2 linked regions of the Oryzias latipes genome follow. The protein of the gene in region 1 purifies or fractionates together with the protein of each later gene. This does not show direct contact. Links are inferred from orthologs where the notes say so. Each region holds a gene or a part of one and is shown in the gene's direction. Other genes may lie near its edges. The genes, in order: klc2 and kif5c.

Region 1 (4,379 bases):
TTCATAGCTTAACTTGTGTTAGATGATTGTATAAAAATGACAAGTATGTACTATGACTAAAGGTCAGTTCTCTGTCCACAGAGTAAAAATAAAGATGTTTGTTTTCTGAAGGCTGACTTAAAAAAAAAGGTACAAACACCACAAGAAGCTTCAGCTTCAAGTTCCTGTTTTGTAAACCTGTTGTGATGTTTGTTTCCATTCACTGCTCCATCATTAAGAAGTCCCAGTGCTTTAACTTTTCAGCTTTTTTTGAGCTTCAACAAGAGTCAGCTCCTCTGTAATAAATATATTGAACAAAGGTTTGATGTGCTTCTCCTTTTCATTCATATTTAATGATTAATCAACAAGCAAGACTTGGATTATAGGTTCTACTGTTTACTTAATCACTAATAAGTGGTTTCTTGGTCTGAAATCAACATAATTAAATTAAAAACAAACAGCATTACATTTAAGAATAAAAGACAGAATCGGACGAACTGTTTGAAACATTGTTTAGTTTCAAATTGTTTTGCTCTTTTGTACCATATCATCTACTATAGGATAATTTTGAAGACCATTTACAGCCCTAAAAAAGTTACTCTGAACATCGTGACATCAAAGCCAATTCAAGGAAAAGAGGATGTTGTCGGTGAGAGGAAGGAACAACTATGATGCCCAGCAAAGTAGGGAAATTAAAAAAAAAATTGAAGTCTTAATATTTGCTTCTTAGGACATAACCAGTTTGGTTCAAATGTGGAGTTATTTAACTTTCAGCATATTCTGCCAAGAGACGCCACAGCGAATCAGTCTTGACGAAGGGCACACATTTGGGTTGTTACGTTGCGTTGAATGCCCTTCCTGACACACAACCCTGTATTTAATCCTGGGTGGGGAACTGCACAGGGAGACCCAGACTTGGGGGGGGGGGGGGGCTTGTAGCTACATAATTAGGCAGTAGCGTGAAGGGTCTTGGCCAAGGACCAACACTGGATGAGTAATGGATGTGGCCCTTCAATTATTCAATTATTCTTTTCAAAAACAAAATGGTATAGAGATTGCCATTTCATTCTTTAAAAATAGTTTTATCACTAGATATGTAGTAATCACTCTTTGATTAAAAATCCAAATCTATTTAGTTTTTAAATTTTTGCCTATTCACTTTTCCAAAATAAATGTTCTCTTTCTGGAATAATACGTTTACAGATTTCTGAACATAATTTTGAGATTTAAAGTATTATTATTGTTGTTGTTTTGGTGGTGGTGGTTATATTAGACTTGCTAATGAAGACGTCGGTAAATAGAAAAGCAAGTCTATTTCCTATCCAATAAGATAGGGACGGGTCACCACTGGTGTATTTTGGCTTTTATTTTTGAAAACTTCCCGGAAGTTGCCACGAGTGACGCAGACTGACGCAGGTCAAAGCATCACAACATTCAGCTGCTGCTTTGTCCCGAAGTCGGAAAGCGTCGCACCGTTTTCGACGAAGGTAGCTGAGTTTTTACAAATATATAGACATTTTTGTAGTGTTATAATTTATGGAAATGATCTTTTATTATATTTTTCTTGGAAAAATGATTATGTATGCAATTATGGGCCACAATCGGGCATAATTTTTGTGTTTTTTTCTTCTTTAATTTGTCGACTGTAGTAAAATTTCATGACTGTCATTGATGACGGACATCAGCCTCCAAAGCGCAATAAATTAGTGCGCGACATATTGTGCATCCCCTTGTAAAACGCAAGGGAGCGGCCTGTACGCTTCATTAATATGTGGAGAGCCGAAACGCGAATGATTTTTGGGATGTTTTTCGGAAGAAACTAAATGTGGATTTTACGAGTTTCGTCCTTGTCGGTCACCTCGATTGATTCGCTGCCAAGACAAACGTCGCCTCCCTCCCGGTCTCAGGCCTTGACGCATCCGCCGGTATTTTCCTCCTTTCAGTCTGCAACTTAAAACGTTCCCATTGAATGTGACAAATAAATAGATTACACCCCCGTTAGACAGGCGGCGGTTTGAAAAACTGAAATTAAGAGTGTGAATATTGGTGCATTGCAGTCGGTGTGCGAGGCGGATGGGAGGGGGTAGGTAGATGGGTGAGTGAGTGGAACAGCCAGGGGAGGGGCGGGGGGAAACAGGTGCGCTGTGATTATGGAAGGCACCAAGTTGCAAAAGTTGGGCTTCTGTAACAAAACGGTTGAACAGATATTTTCATCGCAGCCCGAGAAATATCAATATTTTAGAGCTGTAATATACTATAGGGTTGTAGGGGGAAATCGATGTATCACAAAATTTCACTTGGCGATATTTGTATCGATTACAAATGCTGCCTAGACGATATTGATTTATTTTTAGGTTTCCTTTAGCGTCTGACTCTTATTTTCCATTTAAACCTGCGACCGCTAGTTGGCAGCACAGCCCACTGAGCCTCTTCGAGGAGCTCTACACTGCACCAAAACAATATCCCACAAGAATCAGCTTGTGTAAAATGCTAAAGGTTCAGGCATCCTCTCAGTTTTGTTGTTATGAGACATACGAGACTTAATTTTTCCTTGGGATAGGTCCCGAACAAAAACTCTGCAACGTTGCTGCCGATACCATATAGAATCGTGGATTGTGATGCTTCGTTGTGGGCTCCAGATGAGAACGAATGACGCGTGATCTGTATTGCGATATATATCGTATCGCCAGACTCATGATAAAACATACAATATATTGGGAAAAATATTTTATTTCATTTTTACCAAAATACTCAACATCAGTGGATGAGATTTCAGACATGTTTGTGTAGTATCATTCTTGAAGACTATATTGACAACATGAATTCAAGTATTTGGTTTTGTTGGTGAAGGTTTTTGGTAAGGGTGCCTGTATCATGCTCAGAGTAATCCATATATATGATAATATATTACCTTTGGCACACTAAATAACATTTTTTTTAAAAGAAACAACAGTTATTTTCGCAGCTCATTTTCCTACCTGGAAGTAACACGACTGGATCTCTGAGGCACTGTCTTTCGCTCCTTGTGGGCGCCGCCCTTTCGTGACGTCAGCCTAGAGCCAGCCTCGGCAGTGTGTCTGCGTTTCGCTTATGAAAAGACACGACATTCGAACTTTTGCAAAGATGGATGTGCATATTGTGCATAGAAAAGTAAAGCGTTTAGCCGATCCCTGCTAGCTCCACGGAGAATGTTGGTGTGTGTCTTAGCCTGGGGGTGGTGCTGGGAGCATAGACTCTTCCTGGAAGGAGCTGTTTCTCATTTTATACTTGTGAAGGTGAGGACCCACTCATTTTCATGGATTGGGAGGGGCTGGTGCTCCGAGAGCTGGTTTTTAGAGGAATACTCAGAAATTTGTCAATGGATCAAAATACCACTTTGGGTTGTTGTCTTTTGTGAGGAATTAACAAAATAAAAAAAGCTGTTGATTTGACAAGGTATAGGCCCTTTAACTAAACTATTTCGTTTTGTAAAAAGAAATTCTCAGAATAAATATCATTTTCCTTTTTTTGTGTATGGTGGTCCCTTGTTTATCAGGCGTTCTACAAATAACCTGCAAAGACAAAATATGTAGAGTAGCCAGCTTTAATTTTACTATATTTATAGATGTTTTAAGGTTGTAAAACCCCTCACCATACACTTTTTACAATTCTCACAGGCAGACATTAATGACCCACACTGATCATTTTTTCTCTCATTTTTATCTATTGTAAAATTGTTTCCAGTGGTCTTTTAACTATCATCAAGCCATTTTTAGCCAAATTTAAAAAAACTGTGTGGTTTTCTAGGACATAGTTGCTCCAAAGCAGCAGTAGTTAATCAGAAATTCACCTCTATTCTGTGCGGAACACAACTCAGCAACAACAACACCCCCAACCTGACATTAGCGGTGCAACAAAACTGGCGAGCAATATTGGAGCTATCCAGCTGTACAGTTTTGAACCAGATGTCAGCTCAGACGAGGAAAACAAAGACGTTCATGAATCTATTTGTCTATAAGAGTATGCATCAGAATGGAGTGGAGCAGGGAGATTGTGGCCCACCCAGCATAATTTCTACGTCACAAATAAGTTGCAGTTTTTTTATCTGCTCCTGATTTAAAACAATTTGAAGGAAATATTCAGAAATGTTAAATAAGGCTTAAGTTTCTTTATATGTCCTCCATATTGAGAAAAACATGCCAAAAACACCATCTTTCTCGGAGTGAGTTTTTGGCAGATTGAACGACAACCCCCAAAGACAATGACATCACAGCGAGCAATACTGTAAAAAAAAAATGAATGGGTCGAAAATCGCTTATGGGGCCAAAAAAAAATCTTTCAAAATACAGTAACGAAACCAAAACACACGAGTCAAGGATATCCCAAGGAAGTTTTGAAATCATTATGGGATGGCCACACGA
Region 2 (3,240 bases), on another chromosome or scaffold:
TGGAGGTTTCTTCAGTTAAAATAGGGAACCCAGCTGCGTGGCATCATGGGAAAATTAAGTAAATTAAATCAAAAACATCAGAAGTCATTTTTAATGTCAAAAAAAAAAAAATACAACAAAGAAAGCCAGTGAAACTTTTCTTTACCAGTACATCCCTATTGTGAAGCATGGTGGTGGCAGTGTCATGTTGAGGGATGTTGAATGTTGAGGCTCCTCTGCTAAAATGAGGAACTTAGCTGAATGGCTTCATAGAAAAATTAAGTAAATGGAACAAAAAACATCAAAAATTGTTTCATTTTTTAATTTTTGTAAAAAAAGAAAAACAGTTGAAGAAATCCTTTTCCGACCAGTTTCCTATTCTAAAGCACGGCTATGGCAGCATCATGATGAGGGAAGTTGAAACTCAATAAGTTTTGTGGCTTAACTTAAACCCAGCATGTAGTTCCACAAAATATTCATAGGTGGCGCTAAAATACGAGAAAAAAAACAAATTCAGCAAATCTGTTCGAGAATTTTACTAAAAATCTTAAAAGCAAAAATTAGCAAACACGGGCACGTTTTTTATTTTTCTTCAAACAGATTTTTGCTTAGTGTTCATTAATCTACCCGAAGCATGTGATCAAAATCGTAAAAAAATCTTTCTGCAAAGTCTGTTGTTTGGGGTAAGCTAACTCAGACGGGTGTTTCCAGCTGGTTCGCGACAACGCCGACCTCCGCTGCGAGCTGCCGAAGCTGGAGAAGCGTCTGCGAGTGACGGCCGAGCGCGTCAAAGCGCTGGAGAACGCCCTGAAGGAGGCCAAGGAGAACGCCATGCGGGACCGCAAGCGCTACCAGCAGGAGGTGGACCGCATCAAGGAGGCCGTTCGCGCCAAGAACATGGCCAGGAGGGGGTTCTCCGCGCAGATCGGTGAGCTTCTACCCGCTTTTTGGTAGTTTTGATCCAAAGAGGTTGCTCTAAATTTAACTGGTTCTGCTCCTCAGCCAAACCCATCAGGCCGGGTCACCCCCCCACGGCGTCCCCGATCTGTGGTTCCGTCAGAACCGGGACGGTCCGCTCCTAAACTGAACTCCCACACAGGTGAGGTTCTGGGCGGCCGTCGATGGCTTTTCTTGCTCTAAAAACTGTCGCTTCATCGCTTTTTAAAATTTTATTTTGCAGACAGTAAACAACTCTCCGCATGCCCACAACAAGCCCCGCCCCCCTCCTCCTGTGGCACCGTCAGGAAGCCTCCTCCCCATTTTCCGGTAGTTTTTTTTGTTCCTCTTGTAGGTGAAGTTTGTTGGAGGGGAAGACAAGGATGCCGCCGGAACACGCCTACCGCCGGACCTCCTGAAGGAGCGCCACCCAAAACACACCCTTTAAGAAAGCAACAAACAAGGAAAACACACAAATGCAGACATTTGAATGTTTCGTCATTTTCATTTTTGTCCTTCATTTGTCTAAAGTTTGTGTCTAAAACCATATCTATAAAAATGGTTTGTTTTTGTAAACTTGAAGGTTTTGTGACGTTAGCAAAACTGCGGATCCACAAAAGAAAATGCTCTCAAATATTCCATTTGTTGCCGTTTTTCTCGTCCTGCATCATTTTTGCAGATCTACGGTCTAGTGAAATAGTTGTGATGCAAACCTATGGAACACCCAAAGTGACAAAATTCATTTGAGGGGAAAAATAAGGCATGAAATTAGAATGTTCACAAATGAAAGAAAAACATCCTACAAACACATTTAAAACAAATATTTGCTTTGTTTATGTATTTAAAACTCTAACTTGTAATAATTAAGCTTTAGCTTAGCCACTGCTTTTTTTGTAACTACAAAATGCTAGCTAAAACAATTAGTAGCACTTTTTAGATTTTTGTCCCCAAATTTTCTATATTTGAACGCTAAATTATTTTACATCAAGCTCAACACGCTAGCAATCTGTACATTTAAGGTTTTAAATTTAGGACCAAGAACTGAGGCCCCGCCCACCTAATTACCATAGTTAGTGTCACAAAATTTCTTGACAAACCTCCGGACATTGTTTACACATTATTTGTATCAAGGTTTTATTAATTTAGTCTTGTTTAGACCTCCGTATTTATCGGTTCTTGTTCAGGATGTTGCAGTCTGATCGGCCAATCAGACGCTCCCTGACCTGCATCAGCGCCTCTCCGGGTTGTTTTTTTCTCTGCAGTTTCGGACAAATGATTTCCGACGTTTGTGCCTTTTGCGCTCGCGCTCGAATGTGAATGTGACCCTCTCTGGACGTGAGCGTCATCCGTGAAAGTTCTCTGTACTCGTCGCTGAGCATGACCGAGTTTCCTCCTGTATGTACCGAGGGAATCGAACGACACGTGAATGAACGTTCCTGCATGACGATGCATCCTCCAACCAGAAACCACATGTGTTTGTTGGGAAATCCAACGGGTAAAAAAAAATTTGCACCATTGAGATGTTTTATTTTGTAGAAAAAAAATAAAACTATTGTTTTGGTTGTTGTTTTGACTATGAAGCAAGTCACGTGACATGAATATTATCTTTTATATGATTTTTGTTTTATCAGGCAGATTTATTTTTAAGATAACACAAAAAAACATTTAAATGAATCTATTCATTTATTGCTAAACATTCTGATTGTGCAACAAAATGAAGACACAAAAGGAAAAAACATTTGTTTTTTTCAGGGAATATTTTCAGAGCAAGCAGAAGAATGGCGCTCAGTCACTTCTATCTAATAAATCTTTAAAAAAACATATTAACGTAAAACCAATTTTCAAAATGTACCAAATGAAATATTTGTTTTCTTTTTTAGTCAAACTTATGAAAAGTAATTAGTCACTGAATGTAAGTTTTTTCTTAAATGTTTTATTTATTACATTTGCAGCAATAAAGCTGTTTTATTTTGAAGGAAAAAGGCCAAATATTTTTTGTTTTCCTCTGACTGTAAATCAAGTCAACTTAAAGTTTGTTTTTGTAAATTATACAGAAAAAATGCGTCTTATTTTTTTCCCCCCCAAAGTTGATTTATTTAGAAGGAACACAAAAAAGGGTTAAAATTAATATATTTTTTGATTGCCAAATTTTCCAATTGTTTGACTCAATTAAAATGAAAACTAATTGTAAAAAATATTTACATCTTTTTCTTTTGTGGTAAAAAGGCGCCGAGTCACTTCTCTGGATGTATTATATAAAAATTAATCACAAGCATGAAATTTATCAAAATAAATTATTTGTTTACTTTTTGATTAAACTTGTGA

Evidence for each region.
Region 2: the proteins of klc2 (region 1) and kif5c purify together in Homo sapiens (affinity purification with western blotting; 3 studies listed by BioGRID and IntAct, with this or other methods). This does not show direct contact. The link is inferred for Oryzias latipes from reciprocal best matches to the Homo sapiens genes KLC2 and KIF5C.

Annotation. Positions count from the first base shown.
Region 1 is NC_019876.2:19,375,525-19,379,903, reverse strand, and holds the start of klc2 (kinesin light chain 2), read left to right. Parts: upstream 1-1,344; 5' UTR 1,345-1,466; intron 1,467-4,379. UniProt on the Homo sapiens protein: Kinesin is a microtubule-associated force-producing protein that plays a role in organelle transport. The light chain functions in coupling of cargo to the heavy chain or in the modulation of its ATPase activity.
Region 2 is NC_019860.2:3,535,197-3,538,436, forward strand, and holds the end of kif5c (kinesin heavy chain), read left to right. Parts: intron 1-690; coding exon 691-907; intron 908-981; coding exon 982-1,061; 3' UTR 1,062-1,078; intron 1,079-1,159; 3' UTR 1,160-2,477; downstream 2,478-3,240. UniProt on the Homo sapiens protein: Microtubule-associated force-producing protein that may play a role in organelle transport. Has ATPase activity. Involved in synaptic transmission. Mediates dendritic trafficking of mRNAs.